4 linked regions of the Struthio camelus genome follow. The protein of the gene in region 1 purifies or fractionates together with the protein of each later gene. This does not show direct contact. Links are inferred from orthologs where the notes say so. Each region holds a gene or a part of one and is shown on either strand. Other genes may lie near its edges.

Region 1 (7,590 bases):
ATGAAATACCATGTATTCCTGAAGTCTAGGGGAAAAGCTGTTCATTGATTCAACTTTTAAGCATAAAGAACCTGTTCCAGCCCAGAAAAAGGAGAGCATTCCAGATTGAAATAAAGAGCTAGGCCAATAGGGGAGTACAGAAAGAATAGCTTTTCTTTTCAAGATTACATACCTCAGATAAGTCAACGTTTTAATAGTTGATAATGGATCCAGTTCACCCTACATAATGGGAAAACAGTACGAAACCTTAAATCCATTTAATGAGAACAAAGTCCTTAAAATTTTAGCAGCCTTTACTCTGACACACAAGCAGTGACAAAAAAAAAAACCCTCACATTCATTTCAAGCTTACTTTTTGAAAACACTGGCAAATAGAGGAGTATTTGTACTACTAGATGTGACAACTCTACTAAGTCAATAATGTTTCAAGTAATTACACTGTACACAATTTAAGACAGCCAGCTGCCCTTAAGAGTCTTGACTGCCACTATGAAAAACATACATTCAAAAAATATGAAAGAAAAGAAACAGCAACAAAGTAAGCTTCAGTCTTAACGCGGAAGTAAGAGATAGAAAACTGTAAGCAGACATACTAGCTATTAACTCTGTTCAAATTCTACATAAAAGACTCAGATCTGCCTAACTTTTGTGAGTATAACAATGCAGTTACAAAGAAGTTACACGAATGCTCTTTGTTACCTATTATGTAACTCAAAGGGAGACTGTAAGAAATACTGTGCTTGAGATTCCTACTTTGGTATAAGTGACCTGAAATAAGTTTTAAAAGAGTATTTCACTTTTTTTTTTGAGAATCAGAAACTTTCCTTCTTCAGTTCAAAACTAGAGCTAAAAATATTTAATTACAAAGTAATGAAATCTCTTTTCTCAAAGCTCTTCCTAGAATCTCATATCCATTTTAGAATTACTGCAATTAATTTAACAGGAAAGCCACTAAGATTTTGAAACTACTGTTCCACTGCATGCCACACATCATATTCTGTAAAATAAATACATCACAACTACTACTAAAATGATATGATATTTTTCTAAATAGAGGAAAAAGGTTATTATAAAGATGGCATACATATATAATTTAAGGTTGTTAAGATTCGTTCAGTACTCATAGCTTACCAATTCAGCAATGTTATTGTTGGTAAGAACGAGCTCCCTGAGACAGGGTAAGGCCTGTTCAAGTCCTTCACCGATCCGACTAAGGGAGAACAGAAACCAAAGGTTTATTAAGGTTGGAAACTAACAACAGTGCAAAGACGCATAGAAAGACTGTAATCTAGAGTACCTAATTTTAAAACAACCAAGTCTGACACTATCAGAAGTTTGGGTTGGCATCAACATAAAAACATTAGATGCAACATATGCACGCACTTGCAGGTATCCCCAGTCTCCCTAGGACAGCTTGATTTATTTTTGCTATCGCCTAAGCACAGGGATGACAAATGAGCTCCCAAGTCTCTGGCTCTGGGCAAATTCCAAGTTCTACCTCCTACTGTCCTGTCTGAAAGACGAATACTGATCTTGGACAGATTTTTGCAATGCACGAAGCAGGCAAATTGAACAGGCCTTCAAGAGTACTCCGTGCTGTTGGGTGCCAATTTCTTTCATTGAAACAAACAGGTCTTCTACAACCACCCGCCACTGAAAGATGGACACACACTCGGGATTCTTTGCTTCCCTAGAGCATTTTCCACTGCCCATCTGGCTGAAGTACAACCACTTACCAAATTCTGTTGTTATTCATCAGAAGAGTTTTCAGCCTTCTCAACAGAGGGAACCCATCCAGTTTACGGATCTCATTGTCAGAGAAATCAATTGCATCGAACTGGTCCAAAGTGGCACCCAAGTTCTCAATAACAGGGATTTTATAACCTTGGGGAGAAAGCGTCAGACAGGGGTTAGATGGCATCTGGACAGCACAACAAAGCAAAGGTCCCTCTGCCCCATGGCCCCACCACCGCCGCCCCTGCAGCCCCTCTGTCCCACGGCTCCCGCCCCATGATCCCTCCGCCCCACGGCCCCCGCAGTTCCTTTGCCCCACAGCCCCCACCGCCACAGCCCCTCCGCCCCACACCCCCCACGGTTCCTCTGCCCCACAGCCCCTGCCACCCAGGCCCCTCCGCCCCACACCCCCCACGGTTCCTCTGCCCCACAGCCCCTGCCACCCAGGCCCCTCCGCCCCACACCCCCCGCGGTTCCTCTGCCCCACAGCCCCTGCCACCCAGGCCCCTCCACCCCACACCCCCCGCGGTTCCTCTGCCCCACGGCCCCCGCCACCGAGGCCCCTCCACCCCACACCCCCCGCGGTTCCTCTGCCCCACGGCCCCCACCACCGAGGCCCCTCCACCCCACACCCCCCGCGGTTCCTCTGCCCCACGGCCCCCACCACCGAGGCCCCTCCACCCCACACCCCCCGCGGTTCCTCTGCCCCGCGGCCCCCACCACCGAGGCCCCCCACCCCACACCCCCCGCAGTTGCTTTGCTCCACAGCCCCCGCCTCCACAGCCCCTCCGCTCCACAGGCCCCACCGCCACAGCCCCTGCCACCGAGGCCCCTCCGCCCCACACCCCCCGCGGCACCACCATCCCACGGCTCCCGCCGTTAGGGCCCCACGGCCCCCGCGGCCCTTCCGCCCGACGATTCCCGCCGTCAGGGCCCCGCCGCCCCACGGCCCCCGCCGCCTCCCCCCCACAGACCCCCCCAGCCGCACCTGCCACCGCCGGCCCTGACAGGCCCCTCCCCCCCCCCGCCCCGTTACAGGCCCCGGTCCCGCCGTAGGCCCCGGCAGCCCCCCCAGGCCCAGGCCCTCCCGGCCCCGGTCCCCCCCCCCCTCCCCGGCGCGCACCGCGCAGGTCGAGCTCGCGGTCGCGGACGGCGTTGGTGTACTGCGCCGCCTGCTCGATCAGCTCCGCCGTGAGCTTCACCATCCTGCCGCCGCCGCCGCCGCCACGCCGCCGCCGGCCCGCGCGCCAGCCCCGCCAGCCGAGCGCCGAGCCCGCGAGCGGGCAGCCCCGCCAGCCGAGCGCCGAGCCCGCGAGCGGGCAGCCCCGCCAGCCGAGCGCCGAGCCCGCGAGCGGGCAGCCCCTCCTCCACCCCCAAGATGGAGGCCGGGGCAGGGAGGCCTGCGGGGCTCGGCAGCCACCGGCCCGCCGCCTCCTCAGCGCCCCCGCGGCGTCCCCCCTTTCCCCGTCTCCTTGAGCACCTCGCGTCCTTACCCGCGCTCCCCTCTGCTCGCAGCGCCCTTCGTGCGCCGCCTCCTGGCGGGGCAGCCCTGGCCGCCGGGGCCGCTGCGGGCTCCCGTCGGCGCCTCCTCGGCCCGGGCCAGCGATGTCCGGCCGCCGCCGCCTTCCCCCAAGCCTCCGCGGGGTCCCGCTCCCCGCCAGGCCCGGGGCAGGCCGGTCTCCCCGGCGGTCTGGTTCCCCTTTGGGGCAGGGCGAAGGGCAGCCGAGCTGCGGGGTCCCCCCAGACGCCGAGTCGGGGGGCAGCCGGCCGCGGCGCCCGGCGCTTTCCCGGACGAGCGGGGAGCTTGGCTCTGCTGGGCGAGAGGGGAGTCGCCGCGGCCAGCGGCGTCCCAAAGCGGCGCGAAGCCGCTCACCAGAGCTTCCCGCCCGGCGGCTGGCGTTTCAGGGCACGGGGTGACTCGGCGGAGGTCCAGGCCTCGCGCCGGGGACCGAGTTGGCGCCTCGGTGTTTAGCCGGCGGCGCTGCGCTCGTGGGAACGTACGCTGCTCCCTTCCTGCTCAGCAGCCGGGACAGCGGCCCGCGCTGATTACAGCGCCGGGTGTAATTTCTCTCCTCCGTCCAAGCGGCAGCACCAGCCCGCGCTCCTGAACGCAGGGTTGCTCTTAAGTGCCTGCGGGCTGCGGCGTTCGCTGTGGCTGCTCTGGCGTTTCCACGCACCTTCCTGCTCTCACCAAAGCCAGGTCGGGCTGGGAGCACCCCGCGGGATGCTCTGCCCTCGCCTTTGAGACAAAACGCGCTTTGCACGCCTCGCCGCCCCATCCTGCCCTTAGCTGCCTTAGGGATTTGGAAACCGGTGAGGAAGAGCTGGGGTAGCCCCCGGGCTCTGCTTGTTGCGGCCCCGTGCAGCGAGCCGTGAGGGCAGCTGCCGCGTTGCTGAGTGCCGGACCTCTGGTCCGACGCGGGGCGGCTGCTCTTACGCGATGAGGGGACGGTGCCCGGGCCGGCCGCGTGCCTGCTGCACCCTCGGGGCCTTCCCCGCGCTTTCTCCTTCGCGGAAACGCCGCCCTGGTTGCTGTTCCCCAGCGCTGCCGGCGCAGCTCTAAGGGTGACCCGGGCCGCTAGGTCCGACCTGACGCTGGGCTGGCTTAGCGCTCCCGAGCGGCGCCAACTCCAGCGGTCTGGTGCAGGTCTCGGCTGCCCCAGGCCAGTCCTCTTTGAGCTGGGCCTTTGCATCAAATCCGCCGTCTGGCAGCGGGAGAAGGCGGCGCGGGAAGGGAAGTGGTTGAGCAGACCCCAAATCCTGCGGTCATGCGGCCACCGCTCCTGCGGCCCCAGGGACGCTCCGACCCTCCAGGCTCCCTGAGTCAGGTGAGGCAGAGTGATTTCTGCATCCCTTGCTATCTAGGGAAGGATTTTTTCACCAGCTGTGACATTTCTGTGAACTCGGGGGATCTGATAGCGGGTTAAATGCTGCAGTCACGTTTGGTACCACACCAGCTCTTCTTTTGGGAGCCTCTGGCACCCTCAGCCCGTGCGTGATGCCTGGCTCGTTCCCCCTGATTACGGCGTCAGAGCTGGCTCTGTTCGGGCTGGGGTCAGGCAGCTCCTGTGCACCCTACTTAAAACAGCCTCCTTGCTATCTGTAACTGATGCTATTTAGGAGAACGTATAGTCAGGTGTTCATAGCATCTGCATTTCCTCAAAATACGTTCGGAGAGAAAGAGCAAGAGAGATGTCATAGGAAGAAAGAAAGAATTAGTGGCACTTGTGGTAGGTGACTCAGGAATCACGCAGTGGTAAAGACAGCACAGTCTTGAGTCATATCAGGCACTCATTAAAAGCAGATTCAAGCTCCTGAAAAGCAGGTCCTGCCTCTGACAAGGCTAAACAAAATGTGGACCTTTCTGCCGTAGCGCTGTGTAGCTGTATTACACCTCAGCCTTGCAGCTGCTATAGGCTGGAGAGCAGAGAGGTTCTTGGCTTCAGATGCTGTACACGAGCTCTTAAAAGCCCCTTCTTTGTAATGGAAAGTCAAAGCAATGATTTTTAAGATGTGTGTTCCCCACTTGCTAGCTATGAAACAGCAGAGGGCTGTGGATGCGCCCTCGCAGCCAAACAGCAAACGAGGAGTCAGGCTACTCTAAGAGGTTTTTCCAGAAAACAGCTATTATAGATTTGTCACTGGTGCCAAGAGACAAGAGAGAAATGTGCTTTAATAAATTGACTAAATAGGCATTTATCTGGAAGACACAGCCACTTTGATCCTTTGAGCATACTGATGTCAGAGGGACTTTAATAGCTCTGAGCAAACACTGCAATAGCTTGGATAAATAATCTGAATTTTATTACTTTCCAAGAATGATTTCTGAGGGAGTTAGATAATGCCCTGGGAAATACTGGAAACTGATTTTGTTGTGTAAGCCAAACTGTGCAGAATTTGGTCCTCTTGGCACTGTCCACCATAGACTGGGATTCATAAGGGCAGCGGAAGCAGGATAAAGCTGAGACCGCTGGGGACCGGTCATCTTAAATTGCATTGCTTCACCCAGTATGTATTTTAAGTTATGCCAAGGATGTAAGGGTAAACATCTTTTTTCTTTTTCTTTTCTTTTTTTTTAGCATTTCAGTACATCTAAATATACCACGGAACAGTATTTAGAGGCAGCCACTGTGAGCCAGAGAACTGAAAGCCAAAGCTGACACAGTACTCTTCATTCACAGCTCCCATTTCTGACTGTATGACACAGCAACAGAATTAGAAGTTTTTCATTTTACAGCCTAAATGGCAGAAGCCAGAAGCATTTCACGCCACTTCTGACCTCTGGTTTGGCCCAAGACCAAAAGCGGGATGCTGGAGCAACAGAAAGAATCAGGATATGCAGTAAACCATCTCATTAGTTCACGCTTATCATCTGATAAACGTGAAGAACTAGAAGACACACAAGCCCACAGCAGCACAGCTCAGAGAGCACCTTCCCTTGTGGGGGGAAGGTTCATTTATTTTCTCTCTTCACACCTATAAGGCTCGATTCCAGATACCCAGGGACTACCCTGGGCACCTGGCCCCCGATTAAACATTGCAAAACCAACACAACAAACAAAAGGCTCCAGAGCTCCCTGCACTCCCTGACACCAGCATCGCCTCCCCTTTACCAACTAGCGGAAGGGGGAAGGTGGGCCCCGAGGGCACCAGCTCTGTGCTGGGACCAGGGATGTGGCGGGGGCTCGCGGGGGCCGCGGATGGGTGGGAAAGGGGAGCGAGCCCCTGTGGCAGCCAGCCACAGGCAGAGCACTGCCTGTGCCGACAGCCTGCGATGCTCCGTGCGGGATACAGCCCTCCGCGGCTGCGGAGCTCGGGCTGATCATGCAATATCAATGCTAATAATGAAGCAACGACAGCGTCAATACTACTTGAGGGCTCTGGAGATCTGTGACTACGGGGGACATTCAGGAGGTGCATTTCTTCTGAGGGTAAAAGACCTTTATGAGAATAAACGTGTCTAAGTTTTTGCAGATGCAGTTCATAAGCAATCTTGCCCACAGATGCTCTGGGGCCGATCAGGAGCTCTGAGCAGGACAGCTTCCTTGTCCAGTAAAATAAAGACACGTGGTGCGTCACAGCCTTCACCTGCCTCTGGTCAGGGTGGTGGCTGCGCTGAATTTGGAAAAAGCACAGATTCCTTTGTAAGGGGAGATCAATAGTTTATTAACTTAAAGGTCGGTTCACCAAAGCTCCATCTTTACTTGGTTCTGGTCCACTCGGGTTAGGACCGATGACAGTTTGGCTCTCCCCTCTTCACCTGGCCGAGATAAGCTCTAGTGGGCAAGCCCAGGCAGGGTGCGTATCGTTGCAACCAAAACCAAGCAGGGATTATCCCAGCTCCATAAGGAACTGGTGATAGTTTGTACTGTGAATTTCACTGGCAAAAGGTTTAACTTGTTAAAACTATTAACAATGAAAATCAGGTCATGCAGCAGAGGAAATAATTGTTTACATATGTCTAGTGAAAAGAGCATCTCTGCAAGGTTGGAGAGAGGCTGGAAAGAGCAGAAGGACGTAAGACAAAAGATTCCCCACTCCCCATACAAAAAATAATCTACAGAGAAAAACAAGGATTGTATAAGTTATTTTTTAAAAAATCTGTAAAACAACATAGCCAAGGATATTTTAAACACAATTATATAAACACCACATGATGTACTATTAAGAGAGAGCATGAAAAGGTTTGTTTTGTGAGAGGGTTTTGTAGAATTTAGAGTTTCCTGGCTGGATCCCTGGAATATCTCCTTTCGGAAACAGATGCTCAAGAAAAATCACTGCCATGAATACGAGGATTTTTTGAGGGAGACGAGTATTCCCACCAAAAATACAGGAAGGATCATAATACAAAATACT
Region 2 (7,207 bases), on another chromosome or scaffold:
CCCCCCAACTCCTCAGAGACGCCCCAAAACCCCCATGGACTTCTCAGGGACCCTCTTGGAGACACCAGGACCCCCAACACTCCTAGGGACCCCCCCGGGACATTGGGACCCCCCCAAGACCCATGGGAACCCCCTAACACCCCCAGACCCTCTTGGGGACAGTGGAACCCCCCCAAAACCCCCAGGGACCATGCGGACCCCCCCCCAGGGCCCCCCTTGGGGACACCAGGGCCCCCCCCGGGACACCACCCCCCGTCCCTGTCCCTCCCCAGGGGACCCCGGACGTGACGGAGTCTCTCTCTTTCTCTGTCCCGCATCTGTCTGTCCCCGTGTCTGTCCCTGTCCCCGTGTCCTCATCCCCGTCTGTCCCCATGTCCCTGTCCATCCTGTGTCTGTCCCCGTGTCCTCGTGTCCGTCCTGTCCCCATGTCCTCGTCCCCCTCGTCTCCATCCTCGTGTCCTCATGTCCGTCCCGTCCCTGCGTCTCCACGTCCTCGCGTCCGTCCCCATGTCCTCGTGTCCGTCCTGTCCCCATGTCCTCGTCCCCCTCGTCTCCATCCCCGTGTCCCCATGTCCTTGCGTCTGTCCCCATGTCCTCGTGTCCGTCCTGTCCCCATGTCCTCGTCCCCCTCGTCTCCATCCCCGTGTCCTCATATCCGTCCCGTCCCTGCGTCCCCACGTCCTCGCGTCTGTCCCCATGTCCTCGTCCCCCTCGTCTCCATCCCCGTGTCCTCATATCCGTCCCGTGCCTGCGTCCCCACGTCCTCGCGTCTGTCCCCATGTCCTCGTGTCCGTCCTGTCCCCATGTCCTCGTCCCCCTCGTCTCCATCCCCGTGTCCTCATATCCGTCCCGTGCCTGCGTCCCCACGTCCTCGCATCTGTCCCCATGTCCTCGTCCCCCTCGTCTCCATCCCCGTGTCCTCATGTCCGTCCCGTCCCTGCGTCCCCACGTCCTCGCGTCCGTCCCCATGTCCTCGTCCCCCTCGTCTCCATCCCCGTGTCCTCATGTCCGTCCCGTGCCTGCGTCCCCACGTCCTCGCATCTGTCCCCATGTCCTCGTCCCCCTCGTCTCCATCCCCGTGTCCTCATATCCGTCCCGTGCCTGCGTCCCCACGTCCTCGCGTCTGTCCCCATGTCCTCGTCCCCCTCGTCTCCATCCCCGTGTCCTCATATCCGTCCCGTGCCTGCGTCCCCACGTCCTCGCGTCTGTCCCCATGTCCTCGTCCCCCTCGTCTCCATCCCCGTGTCCTCATGTCCGTCCCGTGCCTGCGTCCCCACGTCCTCGCATCTGTCCCCATGTCCTCGTCCCCCTCGTCTCCATCCCCGTGTCCTCATGTCCGTCCCGTCCCTGCGTCCCCACGTCCTCGCGTCCGTCCCCATGTCCTCGTCCCCCTCGTCTCCATCCCCGTGTCCTCATGTCCGTCCCGTCCCTGCGTCCCCACGTCCTCGCATCTGTCCCCATGTCCTCGTCCCCCTCGTCTCCATCCCCGTGTCCTCATGTCCGTCCCGTGCCTGCGTCCCCACGTCCTCGCGTCTGTCCCCATGTCCTCGTGCCCACCCGTCCCCGCGTCCCCACCCTTGGGGCCCCGCGCCCGGGGGGCAGTGAAGGACGCCGACGGGGTGCTGTGCCGCTACAAGAAGATCCTGACGACGTTCCAGAAGCTGAAGAGCATGAGCCGGGCCTTCGAGCACCACCGCGTCGACCGCAACACGGTGGCGCTGACGACGCCCATCGCCGAGCTGCTCATCGTGGCGCCCGAGAAGCTGGCCGAGGTGGGCGAGTTCGACCCCTCCAAGGAGCGGCTCCTCGAGTACTCGCGCCGCTGCTTCCTGGCCCTCGACGACGAGACCCTCAAGAAGGTGCAGGCCCTCAAGAAGAGCAAGCTGCTGCTGCCCATCACCTACCGCTTCAAGCGGTGATGGGCCCCCCCTCCGGACGCCTGGGCCCCCCCACCTCCCCCGACCCGGCCTGGAGCCCCTGCACCCCACCCCGGACGCCTGGGACTCCCCCAGGAGCCCCCCTCAGCCTCCCCCGGATGCCTGGGCCCCCCCAGGAGCCCCCCCGGATGCCTGGGACCCCCCCCAGGAGCCCTCCTCACCTCCCCCTGGATGCCTGGGACCCCCCCTCAGCCTCCCCCGGATGCCTGGGCCCCCCCAGGAGACCCCCCCCGGACACCTGGGACCCCTCCAGGAGCCCCCCTCACCTCCCCCTGGACGCCTGGGACCCCCCTGGACACCTGGGTCTCCCCAGGAGCCCCCCTCAGCCTCCCCCGGACACCTGGGCCCCCCCAGGAGACCCCCCCTGGATGCCTGGGACCCCCCCAGGAGCCACCCTGGATGCCTCAGACCCCCCCAGGAGCCCCCTTCAGCCCCCCCCAAACCAGCCTGGAGCCCCAAGACTCTCCCCTCAGACGCCTGGGCCCCCCTCCAGCTCCCCTCAACCCGGCCTGGAGCCCCAACACCCTCTCCCAGACGCCTGGGCCCAGCCCCAACCTGGCCTGGAGCACTGAGACCCCTCCCGGATGCCTGGGCCCCCCTCCCAGACCCCCAAACCACCCCCCAACCTGGCCTGGAGCCCCCCCCCAGCACACTGGGGACCCCCGAGAGCCCCCCGGACGCCTGGGCCCCCCTCCCAGACCCCCAAACCACCCCCCAACCTGGCCTGGAGCCCTCCCCCAGCACACTGGGGACCCCCGAGAGACCCCCCCGGACACCTGGGCCCCAGCCAGGAGCCCCCCCCCCCGGAAGCCTGGGCCCCCCCGGGGGGTGAGGGGTCCCCTGCCCCCCCCCAGCTCGGTGTCAGTGACGTTTCTGCCCCCCCCCGTCACCTGGACCAGGGAAAAAGCAGGAAAAGGAAGAAAAAAAAAAAAAAGAAAACACCCTGGAAAAGGGAGAGAAAAATGTACAAAAACAACCGGTTTCTGGCAGAGACTTGACATGACAGAGGAGAAAGCGGCGATTTGGGATAAAAGCGACGTTTCCGGCTGTGTCTTTTCCCCACCGTGTGTTGGGGGGGGTCAGGGGTCACCGGGACCCTCGGGGTCAGGGGTCACCGGGGTCAGGGGTCACCGCGAGGGCTCCCCCCGCCCAGGGGGCACGTGCGGCTCCCGCCTGCCCGTGACGACACTTCCGCTGGCGGCCGGAAGCGCCGCTGCCCTCCGCGCGCGTGCGCGCGCGCTGGCTCCGCCCCCCCGGCGGAAGTTGCCGAAGCGGCGGTGGGCGGGGCTGGCGGACCGGAAGTCGCCCCTGGGCGGAAGCGGAAGTGAGGGAGCCTCGGCGAGGTCGCGGCTGGGAGCGGTGCCGATCCGCCCGCCGGGAGCCGCTCGGGGAGGGGGGAGGCGGGAGAAGCAGCTGGACCGGAGCGGCCGCTCACGGGCAGCCGGTCCCGGTCGCCGCGGCGGGGAGCGGAGCGAGGAGCGGGCGCGGCGGCGGCGGCGGCGGCGGCGGCGCAGCCGCCGCCCGGAAGTCGTCGAGGTCCCGCCCGGAAGTGACGGAGCAGCGAGGCGGAAGGAGCCGAAGCGGTGGGGGGAGCCCGAAGGGAGGCGAGCGCCGAGCGGGTAGAGCGGAGCGCAGGCGGAAAGAGCCGAGCGCCCAGCGAATAGAGCCGAGCGCGGCCGGAGGCAGCCGAGCGCCGAGCGGGTAGAGCCGAGCGCGGCCGGAAAGAGCCGAGTGCAGGCGGAAAGAGCCGAGCGCCGAGTGAATAGAGCGGCGCGCAGGCGCAAAGAGCCGAGCGCGGCCGGAAGGAGCCGAGCGCAGGTGGAAAGAGTCGAGTGCTGAGCGGGTAGAACCGAGCGCGTAGAACTGAGTGCAGGCGGAAAGAGCCGAGCGCCGAGCGGGTAGAGCCGAGCAGAGGCGGAAAGAGCCGAGTGCAGGCGGAAAGAGCCGAGCGCGGCCGGAGGCAGCCGAGCGGAGGCGGAAAGAGCCGAGTGCGGCCGGAAAGAGCCGAGCGCGGCCGAAGGGAGGCGAGCGCCGAGCGAATAGAGCCGAGCGCGGCCGAAGGGAGGCGAGCGCCGAGCGAATAGAGCCGAGCGCGGCCGGAGGGAGCCGAGCGCCGAGCGGGTAGAGCCGAGCGCGGCCGAAGGGAGCCGAGCGCGGCCGAAGGGAGCCGAGCGCGGCCGAAGGGAGCCGAGCGCGGCCGGAAGCGGCCGAGCGCGGGGCCGGAAGTGGCCGAGCGCTGCCGAGCGGGGGAAGGCGCCGCCGCGGCCTGCGCGGGGTCGGAGCCGGAGCCGCAGCCGGGAGCGGGGCCGAGGCCGAGGCGGGAGCGGGGCCGGGGCCGCCATCGCCGTCGCCATCATGTCCGACTTCGACGAGTTCGAGCGGCAGCTCAACGAGAACAAACAAGGTACCGGCGCGGTGGGGGGGGCGCCCGGGCCTGGCTTTCCCCTCCCCCCCCCCGTGGGTGTCTGGGGGGGGGATCCCCTTCACCCCCCCTTCACCCCCCATCACCCCCTCTTCACGCCCCTCACGGGGTCCTCGCACCCCCCCATGGCTCCCCCCCCACCATGAACCCTCCCCTTGGGGGGGGTCTCTCCCCCCCCCTTGAGGGGGTTCCCCCCCATCATGAATCTCCTTCTTGAGGATCCCTAAATCCCCCCCCTTCAATGTGGGGGCCTCCTTGAAGGGGTCTCTTCCGCTTCCCCCCCCCATGGCTGCCCCCCATTTTGGGGGTCTCTTCTCCCCCCCCAACCCCCCATTTCCCCATGGGGCTCTTGGTCCCTGCTGCTGGGGGGGGAGGATGGGGGTCCCCGTGGGCCCCCCCTGAAAAGGAGGGTCTGTGCCCCCCCCCCGTCTTTGTTTTGGGGGCGCCGGGGCGGCTCCTCGGCCGTCGGCGACTCCCCGTGGCCGAATCCCCCCCTCCCCGCCCGCCCGGCGCACGTGGCTCCTCCCGGCCTGCGGGAACGCCGCGGTGTGGGGTCGGGGGGGGGGAAAATGGGGCAGGAGGGGTCGTGGGGGGGGGTGGGCTGCCGACCCCCCCCCAACGCATCCCCCTGCGCCCCGACTGCCGGCAGAGCGTGACAAGGAGAACCGGCACCGGAAGCGCAGCCACAGCCGCTCGCGGAGCCGCGACCGGAAGCGCCGGAGCCGGAGCCGCGACCGGCGGAACAGAGACCAGCGCAGCGTCTCGCGGGACCGCCGGCGGCGCAGGTACGGCAGCGGCGGCGGTGGGGGGGGGGCACCCGGACGCCTGGGCCCTTCCCGGGGTGGGGGGGGGAGCCGCTTCCCTTTCGGAGCCCGCGCCGAGCGCAACAGCCTCTCCTTCCGCCCGCAGGTCGCCCCTGAGCCTCTCGGGTCCCCTGAGGTGAGTGGCCGTGGGCGCGGGGGGGGGGGGGCGGCGGCGGCTCTCGGGGGGCGGCGCGGGTTGGGGAGGGGTCTCCCCGCCGCCCCCCCGACCCCTGCGTGCCCCCCCCGCGCAGCCGCTCGCCCCGGCACGAGAAGAAGAAGAAGATCCGCAAGTACTGGGACGTGCCGCCGCCGGGCTTCGAGCACATCACGCCCATGCAGTACAAAGCCATGCAAGGTGCCCGCCGCCCTTCCTCCCCCCTCCTCTTCCTCCTCCTCCTCGCGCTCCTCGGGGCGCTCCGGGGGGGAGCCGCCGCCCTGACGGAGCCCCCCCGCCCCGCTCTCCGGTGTCGCCCGCAGCCGCCGGCCAGATCCCCGCCACGGCGCTGCTGCCCACCATGACGCCGGACGGGCTGGCCGTCACCCCCACGCCGGTGCCGGTGGTGGGCAGCCAGATGACGCGGCAGGCGCGGCGCCTCTACGTGGGCAACATCCCCTTCGGCATCACCGAGGTACTCGGGGAGGGGGGGGGCCGCCGCCGGCGCCGGCCGAGCCGCCGCTTCCCCAGCCGGAGCGCGGGCCGACGGCGGGCGTTCGGGAGCGGGGCGTTGGGGCGGCGGGAGGCGGACGGGCGCAGCCGAGGGATGACGCCGGCCACCTGGAGGAGCCATCCGCGACACGAGCTGGGTCAGGTCTCGGCGCCGAACCCCCCCCCCCTTCCCCCTTTTCCCTCCCCCCCCCCCCGGGTCTGTGTGCGAGCGGAAGAGGGTCCGGCCCCGGAAGCGGGATCACGCCGCCTCCGGACGTCTCCTGGACGTGGCCCGCGGGAGCGGAGCCCCACGCAGCGGCTAGCGCTGGAAGCCACCTCCTTCTCTGCTCTTTCTCTCTGTCTTCTCCCTCCCTGCTCCGTTCTCTGCTCTTCTCTCGCCATCGCTCTCTCTCTCTCTTTTTCTCTCTCCTTTATTTATTTTGAATTTGACTCTCGGCCTAAAAAACAAGATCAAAGAGTTGTTTCCATTTCTTTTTAAAGTGGAAATTGTGGGGCTGAAATCCCTCGTAGCACAAAAGTTTGCTACCGCCGCACCAGGCAAGTAGGTCGTTTCCCGCTTCCCGGCCCCCCCCCGCTCTCGTCTCCGCGCGCGCGGTCGGCTCGCCGGGCCCCGGGGGTCTCGCCGGCCGGCGTCACCGCGCCTCCCCCGCCTCTCTCCCCCCCCCCAGGAAGCCATGATGGACTTCTTCAACGCCCAGATGCGCCTCGGCGGCCTCACCCAGGCGCCCGGCAACCCGGTGCTGGCCGTGCAGATTAACCAGGACAAGAACTTCGCCTTCCTGGAGGTGAGCGCGGCTCTGCCGTCCCCCTCCCGCCTTTTCCCCCCGGCGGGGGGAAGCGCCGCCGGCGGCTCCGCTCACCGCCGCCCCCATTTTCCGCCCCCCCCCCCCCGCAGTTCCGCTCCGTGGACGAGACCACCCAGGCCATGGCGTTCGACGGGATCATCTTCCAGGGGCAGTCGCTGAAGATCCGCCGGCCCCACGACTACCAGCCGCTGCCCGGCATGTCGGAGAACCCCTCCGTCTACGTGCCGGGTGAGGGGGGGGGGACCGGGGCGCGCGTCACCCCGTCCCGTCCGGCGGGAGGCAGCTACCCGCCGCTGCGGCCGGCCCGGTGCCGCTTGGGCCGCCAAACGGGCTTTTGGCGGCCGCGGCGGGAGCATCCGGGGGTGCGGGGTGAGAAGGGGGGGGCGTTGGGGGTCGCCCCGGCCTCACGTCCCGCTCGGCCCCCATCCGGGGGGGGGCGAGAAGGGGGGGGGCGTTGGGGGTCGCCCCGGCCTCACGTCCTGCTCGGCCCCCATCCGGGGGGGGCGAGAAGGGGGGGGCGTTGGGGGTCGCCCCGGCCTCACGTCCCGCTCGGCCCCCATCCGGGGGGGGCG
Region 3 (7,082 bases), on another chromosome or scaffold:
CCTCAAACAGAAGTGGTACATCCCTGATGTGATACTGATGTGGTACATCCCCAGTGATCAACCCTGCTGTCCTTCTCTGAACTTTCTGCAGTTCTAATACATCCAAACTGTGACAAGGGGACCAGAATTGTGCACTTTCTTCCTCTGCTGTCTTCAAGACACTACCATTTTGTTCAGTACTTCACAGGAGCTGAGGGACATCAGTAGAAATCTATACAATCATTTAATTCAGCTTTCCTAATACAGGTTAATTAAAAGAAAAGTATGACTGGATGGAAGTGACCAATAATTATAACTCAATCTTATTTAATATAAGTAAATTTAACATCAAGATCAGCAGTAGACAAATCATAACAAGCACACTGTAAGAGGGTGTAACAAAAGCCATCCTCTCACATTTTAAAAACACAGTTACAACTCATTAGTATAGATCTCAGTTATATTTATGATGTATTTAGAGGCAAGAACTCAGTTGATTTTTGTAGAATAAAGAACTACATCTTGGAGTACCATCTGAGGGCTATGTTTGATAAGTACATTTAACTAACACCAGCAACCAAGCGCTGTGGCTGGTGTGGTAGTAATTATGCCTTGCGAATAGTTAGGAACCTTTTCCTCTTAAAGTACATCCAAATCTCAAGTCTACGCAAGTAAACAGGCTGAAAAGACTAACTAACCAGAAACAGGTACGACGATTAGAATTAGAAAGCAGAGCACCAACTACTCAAGAGTTATATTCTTAACTGCCAAAAAGCCACACACAAGAACGTGGCTGTCATTCATATTGACCGGTATGACTAACCCTCCCAGCCTCCCCTCTTATTGCTATCCTTTCTTTTAGAGGATGGCATCCCCTCCTCCCTTATTTCCATTCCTGGTCCCTTGTGTAATATATAATCACACATTTAAGCGTACTCGATCCTTACTCATGTCAAAACAATGTTTGCACAAGTGGAAAACCATACTAATGAACTGTAACTCTGCCTTCCTCCTCACTCAACTTGCTGTTTTTCTAATGCAGCACTGAGAAAATTCTTGAGACCTACACTCGAGCATCATTTCTTCTATGTTTGTTCAGTTACGGCTAAATTACAATCCTGAAGAATTGGGAAAAATCCTAAGGGGACGATCAGCAAGTTTCCAGGTTTTTTTTTGGTGGATCACTCTTATTTTTAGACATGGAAGGCACCGAGATCACGTTGTCCACGATCTTGAGACCACTGATCCTTTCTTGAGCAACACAAGTCTGGAAAAAAGGCCTGATATCACTTTTTAGAGAAATTGTCTGTTTCTTCTCAAAGGCGACTGTGGTGCTAACAGAAATTCCAGTACACTGAGTATTCAGTAAGCCTTAGCTTGAAGTAATTGATCTTTTTAGTTATATGCATCTCATCTATGATTTCAAACAAAAGTGAAATACAACATTTTAATGAAACATTTCTGTAGCTGGGTAGCAGAACCCATAGAGACCGTTCTAGAGGTTTTGGCGGATCCTCCCCTGTCAGAGCATAGTTTGGTGAACAACTTTGAATGGGATAAGCTATTGACACAGCTAACTCCCCCAGCTTCTTCTTCCCACTGCTGCAACGGCTGCTTAACTGTACTGGGACAGTGTTCACGCAGCTACATTGTGAGCTGCATTGAGGATCTGATCCAAAGGAGCAATAAGTGAAAAATTATTTTCTTCAGCCACATCAGTTTCCTGATCTCATTCACCAAATAACTCCATAAATGTTTGTGCTGGCACAGTAAAGGGGAAACCTGTTGCTGCAGCCTTAGAAGAACAAAGAGCACAGCCAACACTTATCCTCCTTCACTTTCAAAAGACATTACAGATATCAGTTAGCGCTCCTTTCAAATCTCATGCAAGACAGTCTGCCAAAAGCTGCAAATCAAGAAGTTACAAACTTCTAGACTTCAAGGCATAATAAAACACACATATAATAAGTGCAACAACATGCACGCGCAAATACGACCATCTGTAATAGCACATACATTGACTGAGGACAACAAACTGAAGAATTCTACCTGCCTGTTTAGCACAAAGTATGGAACGTTTTAGTTGGAAGCAGCATGATATTACATTAATATTCCCTACAGTGAGCTACACACTTGAGATCAGAAACAAATTGTCCATACTAAAAAACCCCAAACCAAGCCAACACCTCCCGCCACCTCTTTCTCTGGTCACAAAAAGGAGCCAATACAATCCTGTTCTGCTTTCCCAGGCAACATTAGAGTGAAAAAAGAAATACCGATCAGCTTTCACTACTGCTCTTAGAAGAGGATTCAGTTGCACTAAGCCTGTCAAGGTGGTATCCGTTTCACCCCTGCACCTGGGCAAACCACGCAGAAAAACGCTGCATGTTCAACCCAGCGCAACAAGAGACAGGGATATCTGTTGAACTCCAAGCAAGGCACGGCTTTCAAACAGCAATAACGCCTTTTAACAAGCTTAGCCGCTACAGTTAAAAAACAAACAAACCGACCCAAACCGCCAGGCTCTCTGGCGCACCCGCCCCGCTGAGCCCCGAGGCCTCCCCAGGGAGCGGGGGGGGGGGGCCTTGCCGCGGCAGGCGGGCTGCAGGCCGTGAGGCCGAGGCGAGGCGGAGGGCAGCGACCCCCCCGGCCCGTCCCACGGGCCCGGAGCAGCCCGCCAAGGCGGGGGGCGCGCTGCCCCCCGGCCCGGCCCGGCGCGGCGCGGCGCGGCGCTGGAGGCCGACGGGGAGGCAGCGCCTACCTTCACGGCCACTTCCGGGGCCGAGTCGACGGGCAGGGCGGGCGGGGCGGCGGGGGGCGCGCGGAGGTGCAGCACGGCGTCGCGGCTGGCCAGGACGGCGGCGGCGGCGGCGGTGGTGGTGGTGGTGGCGGCGGCGCGGCCCGGGCCCCCCTCGGCCTCCGGCTCCGAGTCCGGCTCCGAGTCGGAGCCGCCGTAGGAGGCGAGCGCGGCGATCGCCGCCGACATCTTGGCGCGGGGGATGACGGGAACGCGCAGGTCCTGGCAGCGCCTCTGGCCGCCTCCGCCCCGCGCGGAACGAGCGGGTGGGGCTGGCCGTTAACAGGTGCCTCATTAAAACCTTCCAATACGTTTTAAAAGATAAATTACCGTTATCTGCGGGCTGTCGGCAAGGGGGGGGGGGGCGGTTTAATCTCTCGCTGCTTGTTGTTGATGTTTAACCTTTCAGGACTCCCAGGCGGGACTACATCTGCCGCACGCCCCGCGGAGCCGCCGCTGCCGGGGAGGGCGGCCGGGCGAGCGGGCAAGGTGGGTAGGTAGGTAGGTAGGTGCGTGCCGCCGCCGCCGCCGCCGCCGCTGTCCTGCCTCCTGGTCACGGGAAGTCAGAGCGTCTCACTAGCCGGGGAAACGAGGGACTGGGGGCTTCTCCTAGCGGTTCCCAAGGAACACGCTGATGACGGTGACGGGGTAAGAGCTGCAGCCCGGAAGAGCACGGCTGCCCGTGGGCAGCGCAGCGCAGCCACCCGCTGCCTCCAGTGCGTACAGAAACATCCCTGAAGGAGCTTACAGCCCCCTGCTCGGTTGGTTTTCTTACATCTGCTTGCGCCTGACGTAACGACAGGAGAAAACATTCCCACAGAGCGGGCGCAGCAGTTCGCGGGCGACCACATCCTCTCCCGCACGAAGACCTTTTTCACCACCGTTTCGGGGGAACGTAACTGCGGGGCGGGCTCTTCCCCGCCTGGGGGCACCTGCGGCGGCCGCGGGACGGGCCCGCCGAGCACCGCGGCGCCCGCCACGGCCGCCGCCGCCGCTCGGCCCCGCCCCTCCCACGCTGATTGGCTGCGAAGAGCCGGCTTTGTGTACGTCACAATGCCGGGCTCCGCCTTCCCCCTGTTAGAGAGACGGGGCTGGCGGGCCGGACCGTACCACCTGCCGCCGGCGGGGTGGGCGGTGCGCGCGAGGCTCGGGGTGCCGCTCCCCGCCTGCCTGCCTGCCGCCGCGGAGCGTGGGGCGGCGGCGGCGCGTGGGCACAGGCCGGCCAGACCCAAGGAGCGGGCGAGGGGGGGGGCGCCGGCGGCCGGGTAAACAGCCCTCCCTCCCCGCCTCGGCGGGTTGGGGGAGAAGCCCCTCCTCCTCCCACACACACACGCTGTTCTGTGTCTATTGTGAAGCCTGCGAGGGAGCTCCGCGCCCCCGTCGCCTCCTCCTCCTTCTTTCCTCCCCCGCCCCCCCGCCCGGCCCCCCGGTGCGGAGCCAGCGGCTTCGGCGCGCGCAGAATGGCAGGAGCCGTTTGAAGTTCCAGCGCCCAACGGCCGCGGGGGCAGCGCGAAGAGAAGGCGGAGAGAGGGGCTGAGGCGAGCGGCATGAAGGTGTGAGGGGCGGCCGCGCACGGGAGCCGGGACACGCGCGCGCTGGCGAGTAAGTGCCCTCCCCGCTCCCCCGCGCCCTTTCCCCTCAGCCCGTGAGGCTAAGGGCGGACGGGCGGGACCCTTCCTCGCCGCCGGGCGCCCTTCCCTTCCCCGCCGGGGCGGCAGCCCGCCCGCCCGCCCGCCTTCCCTTGGCGCTGCGAGAGACGTGCCTGCCCCACAAAGGGACCCGCGCCCGCCTCCCCGGCCAGGTGCGGGCCCCCTGTCGGCGTCCGCGGGGCTCCGGAGCCCCCCCTTCCCCACCGCTAGGAGGGGAGGGGGCCGCGCTTGTGGCGGAGCGCGACGCTCTCCTGGCCGTCCAGACGCCGTGAGGCGGCGAGAGGGCAGGGGCGCTCGGTAGGGACGGTACCTCCCCCCCCCCTTCACCCCCGCGCGGCTGGGGTCGGCGGTTGGGGCGGTTGTGTGGGGGGAAGAGGGATGACGTCACCCGCAGCCAGGTGCGAGCGGGTCGTGCGGGTCTGAGCAGAGGTGTGCTCGGAGCCGGCTGCCTGCGCTTAATTTATGTAACTGGGGCTACCGAGGGCAAGAGGTGGGGATGGATGCGATGGAGCTGCGTGCGGTTTGCCTTTTGAAGACGAGCGGATTCGATCAAATTCACTGCAAATCTGCCTGCTGAAACACTGCTACCATTGTTCAGCTGTCTTGGAAATCTCGGCTGGCTGGTAGCAGAAGAGCATGCAACGCCACCCCGAGAAGCATGTAGCTTCCAACTTCTCCAGACAGCAAAACGCCTCTCTCTCTGCCCGTTTCGCTTGCGGACAGAATAAATGGAAAGTACAGCTCGCTGATGCCGGCTTTCCACTTTCACATTAGGCGTATACGTTGCATGTAGTCGCACCTGAAGCAGTATATTGCAGGTACCTGTGACTTCCTTTCATGTTGCGTGTTTTTTTCAGAATTGGAGTGGACACATAGTGACATCTACAAGTTAAATGCTTTAATTTCATTTACTGTCCTTTCTGGTAATCACACCCCTAAATGCCTTAGCTTGAGAAGAAATAACTTGAATTCTTTAAAAAATGTTGACAGGATAAAACCTAAGGGGAAATCACAAAATCTTCATTGTATTGTAGGGGTGAAGCAAAGTGTACTGTATTTAGATCTGTTTTTATTAAACACAGGTGTACCTCTTCTTTGCATGCCGGAATCAGGATTAGGAAAATGACTTAGTAAGGGTTTTAGGCAAGAGTCCCGTGTTTTCAACGTTGAGACCTTTCCTTTGTTTGCATCTCCATCAGCTGAAGTATGCTGTGTTTGACTAGTATTTCGGATGGTATTATGAGTTGCCTTTTTATCCAAAATACATGGATGATGAATGTGTAAATGAGGTAAGCTGTATGAAACTTCACATGAATCATAGCTTTATTAATATCAAAAGTGGATCTTTCACTGTAGTTGATTCGTTTGTTGCTGGTAATTGTTAGCTGATACCATATTGACTGCATTCCTTATTTTCTTCTTGATTTGCAGCTTCTGGGTGTTGTCTGAAGTTGCAAGGTGCGCTTCCGAAAAAGTGAAATATTTCAAGATCTGTTTGTGCAACCAGTCGATAATGTTTTATTTTGAGAATTGTGTTGAGAGTGATTAATTTAATGTCTTGATTGTGCTTTGTTATCCTTGAATCGCAATGTTCAGTTGACAGAGCTTGATAGTTTTCTTACGTATGTTAAACTGTATCATGTCCAGATATCCTACATTGCTTGTGAGTAAAATTTGATCATATGAGGTTCTAGATGCTGTCATTGTACAGCCTATGGGAGTCGCTTGCTGGTTTAAATTAGTTGCCTTTCTCTTACCATCAGGGTAGTATATAAGTAAGCCTGGAAGAAGTCAGACAGTACTTCACTGAATAAAACTTCTATTTGCTTAAACTGTAGACAAGATTAACTTTTTCCAAGCATTCAGCTGTAATTTCTTAGTATGAAATACTGAGTTGACTGTGCTTTAATTAGGAAAAAGAAAAGTATAGATGGGTACTATACATAGATTGTCTAAAATCTAGTTTTTATTGAAAAAAAACTGTGGAATTACTGCTTGCCATTTGTATCTAGATATTTTAACACAGCAGATATTAAGTGAATACTTGTGAATTTAGGAAAGGGTTGCTTGATATCAAGCAAATCAAAAGACTGATACAGCTTTTTAAAAAATCTTCTCATTGATCCTTATGCACTGCAAGTATGTTGTTTCCTTTTAATCAGGGACTAGAAAACATATGTTTTGCATAAAGATGAAACCTATTCTGAATGAAACAGCATGAAGTAATGAGTGGCAGATAATTTGGGATTCCTGGCTTTTCTTTCCATCCAGCTTTTCCACTGCTGTTTCTCCTTGCAGTCACTTTGGAGAAATGAAAGTAAGAGTCAAAGGGAGATAAAAATCACTTTCCTTTATACAGCCCTTTTGCATATAAAAAGGGCTATTTGGCACTTGTTTGTTACTACTCCTGGTGGTGAATACTATATCAAGTACCACCCAGGTGAAGAAAGAAGAACTATTTTAAAAGAGTAGTTAGTTCCTTGAACATAGGAAGTCTGAAGCCTTGGCTTCTTACTTCTTTTTTTTCTTTTTTTTTTAAAAATCTCATGGATGATTGCAAGTGTTAATGGATTTTTTTTTTCCTGCTTGGAACATATATGTTCTTCTCCTTTTGTGGATCATCTAACATCTTAATGCATGCTGCAGCCTTTCTCTCA
Region 4 (6,875 bases), on another chromosome or scaffold:
GGAGAACGACTTCTAGAACGGCTACCAGAGCGTCCACGTGATGCAGAGCGCTTCCGATAATGCCTGTATTGTAAATTCATAAAAAAGATGAATGCGAATATGAGAAAAACTAGCAGTTAAAAGATTTGTCATATTTACTTGGAGAGCAAAAAAAAAATCACTTAATTTCTTTGATTTATTCACTTTCTAAACATTTTTAACATTCTTGCAAAAACGATTAATGCAAACATATTCCTAATGGTGTCAAAATTGGATGGATTACTTGGTCATATTTTTCGTTGGTTTTTGAGCTCTGATGTAACAGCACTATGAGAACACTGGAACATCAAGAAAAATAACTGCCCCTTTAGAAATCCACTGATTGTTGTTACATGCATGAAAAGCCTACAACTGTTTGAAGGTGCGTCATCAAATTTGTCAAACAGGTAAAACTAATTTTTGTCGCTTTTCACCCAAGTAAGCCAAGTAAGTTATACCTCTGTTCAAGGGAAAAGTGGTCAAACTGCAACTAAAGGAACATACGTGATGCAGCAGTGGTCAATTCCTTTATGATGCTGACACCAAAAGAAACTCCATAACGCCATCAGACACCTCAACGCAAGCCTCAAGAAGTTAGCAAGGCTTTCAAGGGTTGTGGTGGAGATGGGCATCTCTTTTTCGCCCTCCACTAATGCTCTCTTATCCCAGTCAAACTGGGAGAGGGGTTTGGGCTAGGAGCTGTTCTCAAAACTCTTCACCTCAGCGTACAAGTTACAGAGGGACCTCTACGGGGACCATCTCCTCTTCCTCCCTCCCTCATGCTCTGGTAGTCCGAGACCACAGACCCTTTCACCCCACCAGCCTGGTAGCAATGCGTCGGAAGCAGGAAGAAGCAAAGAAAGCAAGACCTCAAGCCCTTGACTTCTTTCCTCCCTTTTCCTCATTACCACATAGGGTTATACTACAACCGTATCGGCACTAAAAGTAACACAGTTCATTTCCGTATGTTGGTATATTCAAGTATCATACACGTTTGGAATCACAACAATATCAATGCGTTGCCTATCAGCAGTACAACTGAACGTGCAGGACATCTGTCAGCATCAGGTATCTCCGATTTCTTCCTCATCTCTGTCACTAAAATGCTGCTCCACATCCCGCCCCCTCCCCACACCCCCCCCCCCCCGGTATTTGGTATGTTTGTTTCTAGAGTGTGCAGTGAGGCTGGTATCTTATTTCAAGTCTCAAAAGCTCTACCTTGCTGACCATTTCCTTCAACAGCAATTCCAGCACATGCAGCCCACCCCACCCTTCTCCACCCACCACTCATTCTCACTCTCTTACCATCTCTTCAGTTCTACTTAGAAGATTCTGTTTTCAGGCAATAAACTAGAGAAATAACACAAATTAAACTCCACTTTTTTAGATTATTCTTAGCCAGTTGTTTGGTCCAGCTCATTATCCAAACCCACAAACAGAAAAACGTGTGTACGCATCAGGGCCTGGGAGAAGCGGGGCCTGCAGGACCTGCTTGTAAAAGAATTATTCCTCAGAGGCCTGCGGCCTCGTGTGATAAATACGTTTCTGCTCAGCATGACCTCAGAGCCCGACAAAAACTGGCAGCACTATCAGAAGAGGAGCTGAACTGTGCCAAGCGAGGGAGCCCCGCCGGCTCGAGCGCCAGCAGTTTGGAGCTGGGTCCCCAGCAGATACCGCGTCCCGTGCGAGCATCGCAGCCAGCAGCTAACAACCGCTCAGCTAACTAGTCTGAAACTCACTCAGCTGTATCTACGGGAGCCGTGTTCGGTCGCTGCCTGAAACACGCGTGCACCCTTTTCTCAGCGACGAGGGGCTGTGACCCCGGAGGCAAGTTCCATAGGGCTTTTATTAGACGAGCTGACACAACAGGCCAAAAAGGACAAGGTTTTGAGTCCGCAGCTCTTCTTTAAGTACACAGCTCTGCAGTGAATCGCCAGTTTGAACCCATGACGGTACTCAAAATTTCAACTCGTTTGCCTCTGTCAGGCGGGATCTAAGTTATGAACCTAGGATGTCTTCGCAGTGTAGGGACGCCAGCAGGTAGGGACACAAAGTATGCATTTTTATTGCGTTGCAGTTTCAGCGATAAAACCCCTATAACTAAGCTAATTAAGCTAATTAACCAGGAGTAAACTAAACTAGTAGTCACAAACTGATATATGTTATAAGAGCACTTGCAAACTACTACGAGGATTTAAAACCTGGCAGGCTTAGCACCAGCTCTGAACCGCTCCGGTCTGCTCCGAAGCACCGAGTCCGCGAGCGCGTTACTGCTGAGCCGGTTCAAACACCTACCGCGACGCTTATCCGAGCTGAGAGAGGACAAAAGATACGTGACCCGGCGTGAACTTAAAACGGAATATGGAGGAGAAAGGAAAAAAAACAAAAAGAGCTAACGGGGAATAACGCCTGCCAGGTGAGGGACGTGGCTCTTACTGTTTGGAAGCGAACGCGCGCAGGCCAAAGGGGCGTTTGGTGCCGCTCGGTTACCGCGACCCAAAAGGCGGGTGTCGCTCCTCGCCGCCGGCCGCAGACCGCGCCGCGGGCCGCCGCCACCAGCCCGGGCGGGCGGGCGGCGTGGCGACGGCAGCGCAGCGCAGCGCAGCGCCGTCCGGTCCGGTCCGGTCCGGTCCCGACCGGTCCCGTCCGGCCCGGTCCGGCCTGTCCCGCCTCAGCGGCGCGGCGCGCCCGGCCCAGCCCAGCCCAGCCCAGCCCAGCCGCGGCCCTTTGTTCCCCGCGCGCCTCCCGGCCGCCGCCCCGGGTCTGGCCGGGCCGCGACGCCCCGCGCTGCCTCACCTGGACTCCCGGCCCATGGCGGCGGCGGCGGCGGCGCGAGCCCAACGCTAGACGGCGGCGGCCATTCCGCGCCCCCAGCGCCCCGGACGACGAGAAGCGCCGCGGCGGGAAGCGGCCTTCCCCCCCCGACACACACACCTTCCTGGCCGCCGCCGCGGCGCGGCGCCCCCTGGCGGCCGGAGGCCGCGCCGCCGCCCCGCGCGGCAAACGCCGCTTCCGGAGCCCGCTGGGAAAGCGGCGGCGGCCCCCGATTTTCCCCTGTTTTAACCCAACCGGGGCAAAAGGTCCTCGGGACACGCGGTGGCGGCGGCTCACCGCAGGGGCCTGGCTGCCCCGCTGATCACAGCCCTCACCTGCACGCTCTCACCGCCGGCCAAAAGCCAAAGTTTCCGGGGGCAGAATCGATTCACGGGAGGGCCGGAGCCAACGCCGCCTGCCACCCGCGGGCTTCGACGCCCTTTCTTCTCATACCCTCGAGGCTACAGCCCGCTCAGCCGTCGGCCAGCCCTGCTGTGACTGCCCCTCTTAAGAGGCCGTTGACAGCTGACACTAAACATAAGCGACAAACGCGAATTACAGGGGAGAGGCCCACGGCCGGCGCAGCGGCGAGGCTCGGGCGCGGGCTCCCGCTGCTCTCAGGAGGGTCAAAGCGTTCCTGGCGGAACTACCAACTCGGCACGCGTTTAATAAACCGTGACTTTTACAACAAAGGATGGTAGGCCGACAGACGAAATGAAGAAGGGGGGGGGGTAACAAATATATTTTTAATAGAAAACAACCAGTTTAGCAATAAACATTAAATAGAATTATGTACATAAACAAAGGTAAGCCAAAACGGGGAAAAGGAGACTCATTTCTTGATCAAAGGCAAAGAGTAATTTAGTGAAGTCCCTGCTGGCTCTATGTATATTCACTTAAGAGACAGGAAGACCATATTCCAATCCCATCTTGAACAGTTTGTCACATAAAACCAGGTGTTTTCAGACTGAAAAGTTCCCAGATTAGGTCTCGTAGCAACATTTCTTTCACCACTTGAGAGAATAACCTGCTTAATCATTTTTTATGCAAAAGGATTCTAAAAGCGGCTGTGTGAAAATACAATAAGGCAGGTGGGTCACCTGCTTTCTTATTAACTAGCTGATCAGGATTAAAATATTTGTGCTCAGGACTAGAAATTCCGTGCTTTTTGCAGACGCTAGTACCTGGTATTTTCGAAATTTATTTGTCTTTACATTTGGGCATATAAGCGAAAGAATAATTTTTGAGCAAACTCATTACTTACGTATTTCAACCTTAACTTAAATGTCAGCTATTTGAACCTGCTGAAACTTTTGTCTAATATTTAGCCAGAACCTTTTAATATCTGTGCTAATAGACCTAAGTCAGAATCTTTTACAGCCCAGACCTGGACATCTGCAACAAGATATTCAGTATAAAATAACAAGTAAAAACTGAAAGCGTCAAATCCATAACGAAAGCTTCTTCTTTTCATGCCACAAACACATATCTGACTTTGGAGTCAGAAATGCAGTGCTAAGATTACAGCAGGCAGCTTTAACAGAAACGATTAAGCAGAAAGCAGAGCCATTTATTTTAAACACACACAATGAGTTTTGCTCCCTAAAATGTATGCAGCTATCACCGTAACTAGGTGTCTCTCTACACTTAAAAAAAAGACAAATATTAGCCTGGATTACCTGAAAGTCCCAATTCTAATAGGAAAACTACAAGCTGATGATAACATCAAGTTGAGATTCAACATACATTTTTACAGACTGTCAGCATGAAAGGCTGGCTATTTGGAATGAAGCCACCTTCCTCTCACTGTATTAAAATCTTATAGGACTGAAACAAGACAACACTCACTAGCTTGCTACTTTTCCCAGTTGTAGGATTCATTTGTATTTGTTTTCTTTTTCACCTATGGGGCTGCACTCCCACAGGAAAATTTAAGATGCTATTCTCCCATCAGACATTGATTTTTCTGTGGGAATTGGGGAATTTCAAAAACACAGGACAGAAGACAGCAAATCAGTTAACATATAAATAGCTCTGCTGAATGAAAGAGTATATGCCGTTGGCTAGTAGTACTATTAAGCAGCAGGAGCAGAACTCCTAGGCAACTGAGATCCTGTTTACATGCAAATGTCTGGTAATAAACAGAGAAAAAAATACAGAAATTAATGTCACATTCAAAATCGTCTTATGCAAACCTGCAAGGAGCTAGAAAAACAACAGTTCCCTTGTAATTTTTACATATACGGAGCAAATGTTTTATACTGCGGGTTGCTTGCCAATATATACATCTTTCCCTGCATGAGGTAAACTATTGCTACAAGAAAAAAAAAGGGGGGGGGGGTGGCGAGGTTGAACGAAAACACTGGTATGAGCTATGCTAGGATTAACAGGCTGCCGGAAACTCACAAACAGTTGAGATGAATTTCGTTTCTTTCTACTTTTGATTGATGACACTTGTAGACCAAAAGGAAATATATATATATAATATTTGTTTTTGCTTAGCTGTTTTGCACTAGAATCATCAAATGAAATTCATCACAATCACAACAAATTTATAGCAAGGCAAGGATTAGGAGAATGGAGTGGCATGTTTCACCAACATTCTCCAGAAGCAGCTGCTTGCCTCAGCATTCTGAATTGGAACAACAGAATATAGGGATTTCTTTTATTTAGAGCTTTTGTTAAGAAAATGGAAGTAACACAAACTGAGCAGAGCTTGCTAGCTACAGCCGTACTGGATAAATATATATATATATATATATATATATATATATACACACATACACGGTTCTGTTGAAAATTGATCCCTTCTTTTTGTTCTCTCCACAAAAAACAAAGGTAGCTTTGTAAGTGTTTATGAAGGAGGGTGAGAAGGGCATCATCTAACAAAACAAAATATATCTACTGACACTTGCATCCTATTCTTCGTATTTGTAAGAGGCAGACACAGAATATAAATAAACTGCACTAACACAACTGGCAGCCTGGGACCCTGTTCTTCCATTCCCAAAATGACTGGATTCAAGGCTCCTTTCAAGCATTCAAACCAGTAAGAATTTTAATTAAGGTTTAAACCTGCTTGGACAGTCAGATGTTAAAGGAATACAGAACAGAAAGCTTTCGTGTAACTACTGCATTGAGTTCTACAGCCATCAGGGTACTTCAGAACCAAAAAACACAGAAAGTTCATGGCAGAAGATAAAAGTAAAGAAATAGACACAAAGGTCTGTGAAAACGTCTCCCATTTTGCTGTAGGTGTCCATGGAGCGACTAATCACTTCCGCTGGGATTCCAGATAGTAAAAGAGCTGCAGTTAGTACTGTCGTTTTCACCTTCTTTTCACACTAAAAGAAAAAACAATATTAAGTTAGTTCTTCTGTTATAATCCAATTCTGCTTTAAAGACTGCATATGTTGTGCTAGTTTCACCCACAGCCAAGCGCATTCCAAATCCATGGGTAAGAGTGGCAGGTTGGGACTGATTCTCTCCAGGATTCACAACACATCCTAGCTAGAGATTCAGGCTATGATGGATCCAATGGAGCTGAGTGAGAGTCCGGTTCACAGCAGATACAAGTCCCCACGGGCACTATGCCTACTTCACGCTGGCACAACAGACTGTAAAGCGTGGCTATGCAGCTGCCCCAGCATGAGTGGCAAGAGTCCCAGACAAGGGAAGCTCAGGTGCGTGAACACAAGCCAGGCATCTCCACTTGCTGAGCAGGATTAACCTCATCACACTACTTGGCAAAAGAAACTGCTACTTTTCTAACATAGAAATATGATTTAGAATTGAAAACCAACTGCTCCTTTCTCATCAAGTACGACTCCATTTGGTAGTTTTAGCCTCTGAACTCAAAAATCTCTCTAAAAGCCCTTCTCAAAGCTGCTTTTCTGTCCATAAGGTAAGGCCGTGTAGGAGCCTGAAGACGCAAAGAGGTCGGACAGGCAGGCAAACAAGTTTGAAAAGCAGTTCAAAGTTTTAGCAATTTAAGAATATTTGCTGGATATCTGAATATGATCCAATCTAAATTAAGCATTCAA

The links. The genes of interacting proteins can lie anywhere in the genome.
Region 2: the proteins of SNRPA1 (region 1) and U2AF2 fractionate together in Homo sapiens (co-fractionation; 3 studies listed by BioGRID, with this or other methods). This does not show direct contact. The link is inferred for Struthio camelus from reciprocal best matches to the Homo sapiens genes SNRPA1 and U2AF2.
Region 3: the proteins of SNRPA1 (region 1) and CDC40 purify together in Homo sapiens (affinity purification with mass spectrometry; 3 studies listed by BioGRID and IntAct, counting the BioPlex papers as one, with this or other methods). This does not show direct contact. The link is inferred for Struthio camelus from reciprocal best matches to the Homo sapiens genes SNRPA1 and CDC40.
Region 4: the proteins of SNRPA1 (region 1) and DDX46 purify together in Homo sapiens (affinity purification with mass spectrometry; 3 studies listed by BioGRID and IntAct, counting the BioPlex papers as one, with this or other methods). This does not show direct contact. The link is inferred for Struthio camelus from reciprocal best matches to the Homo sapiens genes SNRPA1 and DDX46.

The regions. Positions count from the first base shown.
Region 1 is NC_090953.1:4,274,777-4,282,366, reverse strand, and holds the start of SNRPA1 (U2 small nuclear ribonucleoprotein A'), read right to left. Parts: upstream 3,020-7,590; 5' UTR 2,940-3,019; coding exon 2,858-2,939; intron 1,885-2,857; coding exon 1,737-1,884; intron 1,211-1,736; coding exon 1,132-1,210; intron 220-1,131; coding exon 173-219; intron 1-172. UniProt on the Homo sapiens protein: Involved in pre-mRNA splicing as component of the spliceosome. Associated with sn-RNP U2, where it contributes to the binding of stem loop IV of U2 snRNA.
Region 2 is NW_027182594.1:221,147-228,353, forward strand, and holds the start of U2AF2 (splicing factor U2AF 65 kDa subunit), read left to right. Parts: upstream 1-4,200; 5' UTR 4,201-4,292; coding exon 4,293-4,341; intron 4,342-5,008; coding exon 5,009-5,144; intron 5,145-5,268; coding exon 5,269-5,298; intron 5,299-5,413; coding exon 5,414-5,517; intron 5,518-5,639; coding exon 5,640-5,791; intron 5,792-6,497; coding exon 6,498-6,614; intron 6,615-6,724; coding exon 6,725-6,863; intron 6,864-7,207. Other genes in the region: CCDC106 (coiled-coil domain-containing protein 106), read left to right, coding at 1,603-1,919. UniProt on the Homo sapiens protein: Plays a role in pre-mRNA splicing and 3'-end processing. By recruiting PRPF19 and the PRP19C/Prp19 complex/NTC/Nineteen complex to the RNA polymerase II C-terminal domain (CTD), and thereby pre-mRNA, may couple transcription to splicing.
Region 3 is NC_090944.1:60,428,988-60,436,069, reverse strand, and holds the start of CDC40 (pre-mRNA-processing factor 17), read right to left. Parts: upstream 3,008-7,082; 5' UTR 2,966-3,007; coding exon 2,741-2,965; intron 1-2,740. UniProt on the Homo sapiens protein: Required for pre-mRNA splicing as component of the activated spliceosome. Plays an important role in embryonic brain development; this function does not require proline isomerization.
Region 4 is NC_090954.1:4,147,743-4,154,617, reverse strand, and holds the start of DDX46 (probable ATP-dependent RNA helicase DDX46), read right to left. Parts: upstream 3,008-6,875; 5' UTR 2,832-3,007; coding exon 2,815-2,831; intron 64-2,814; coding exon 1-63. Other genes in the region: guided entry of tail-anchored proteins factor CAMLG, read right to left, coding at 5,985-6,176. UniProt on the Homo sapiens protein: Component of the 17S U2 SnRNP complex of the spliceosome, a large ribonucleoprotein complex that removes introns from transcribed pre-mRNAs.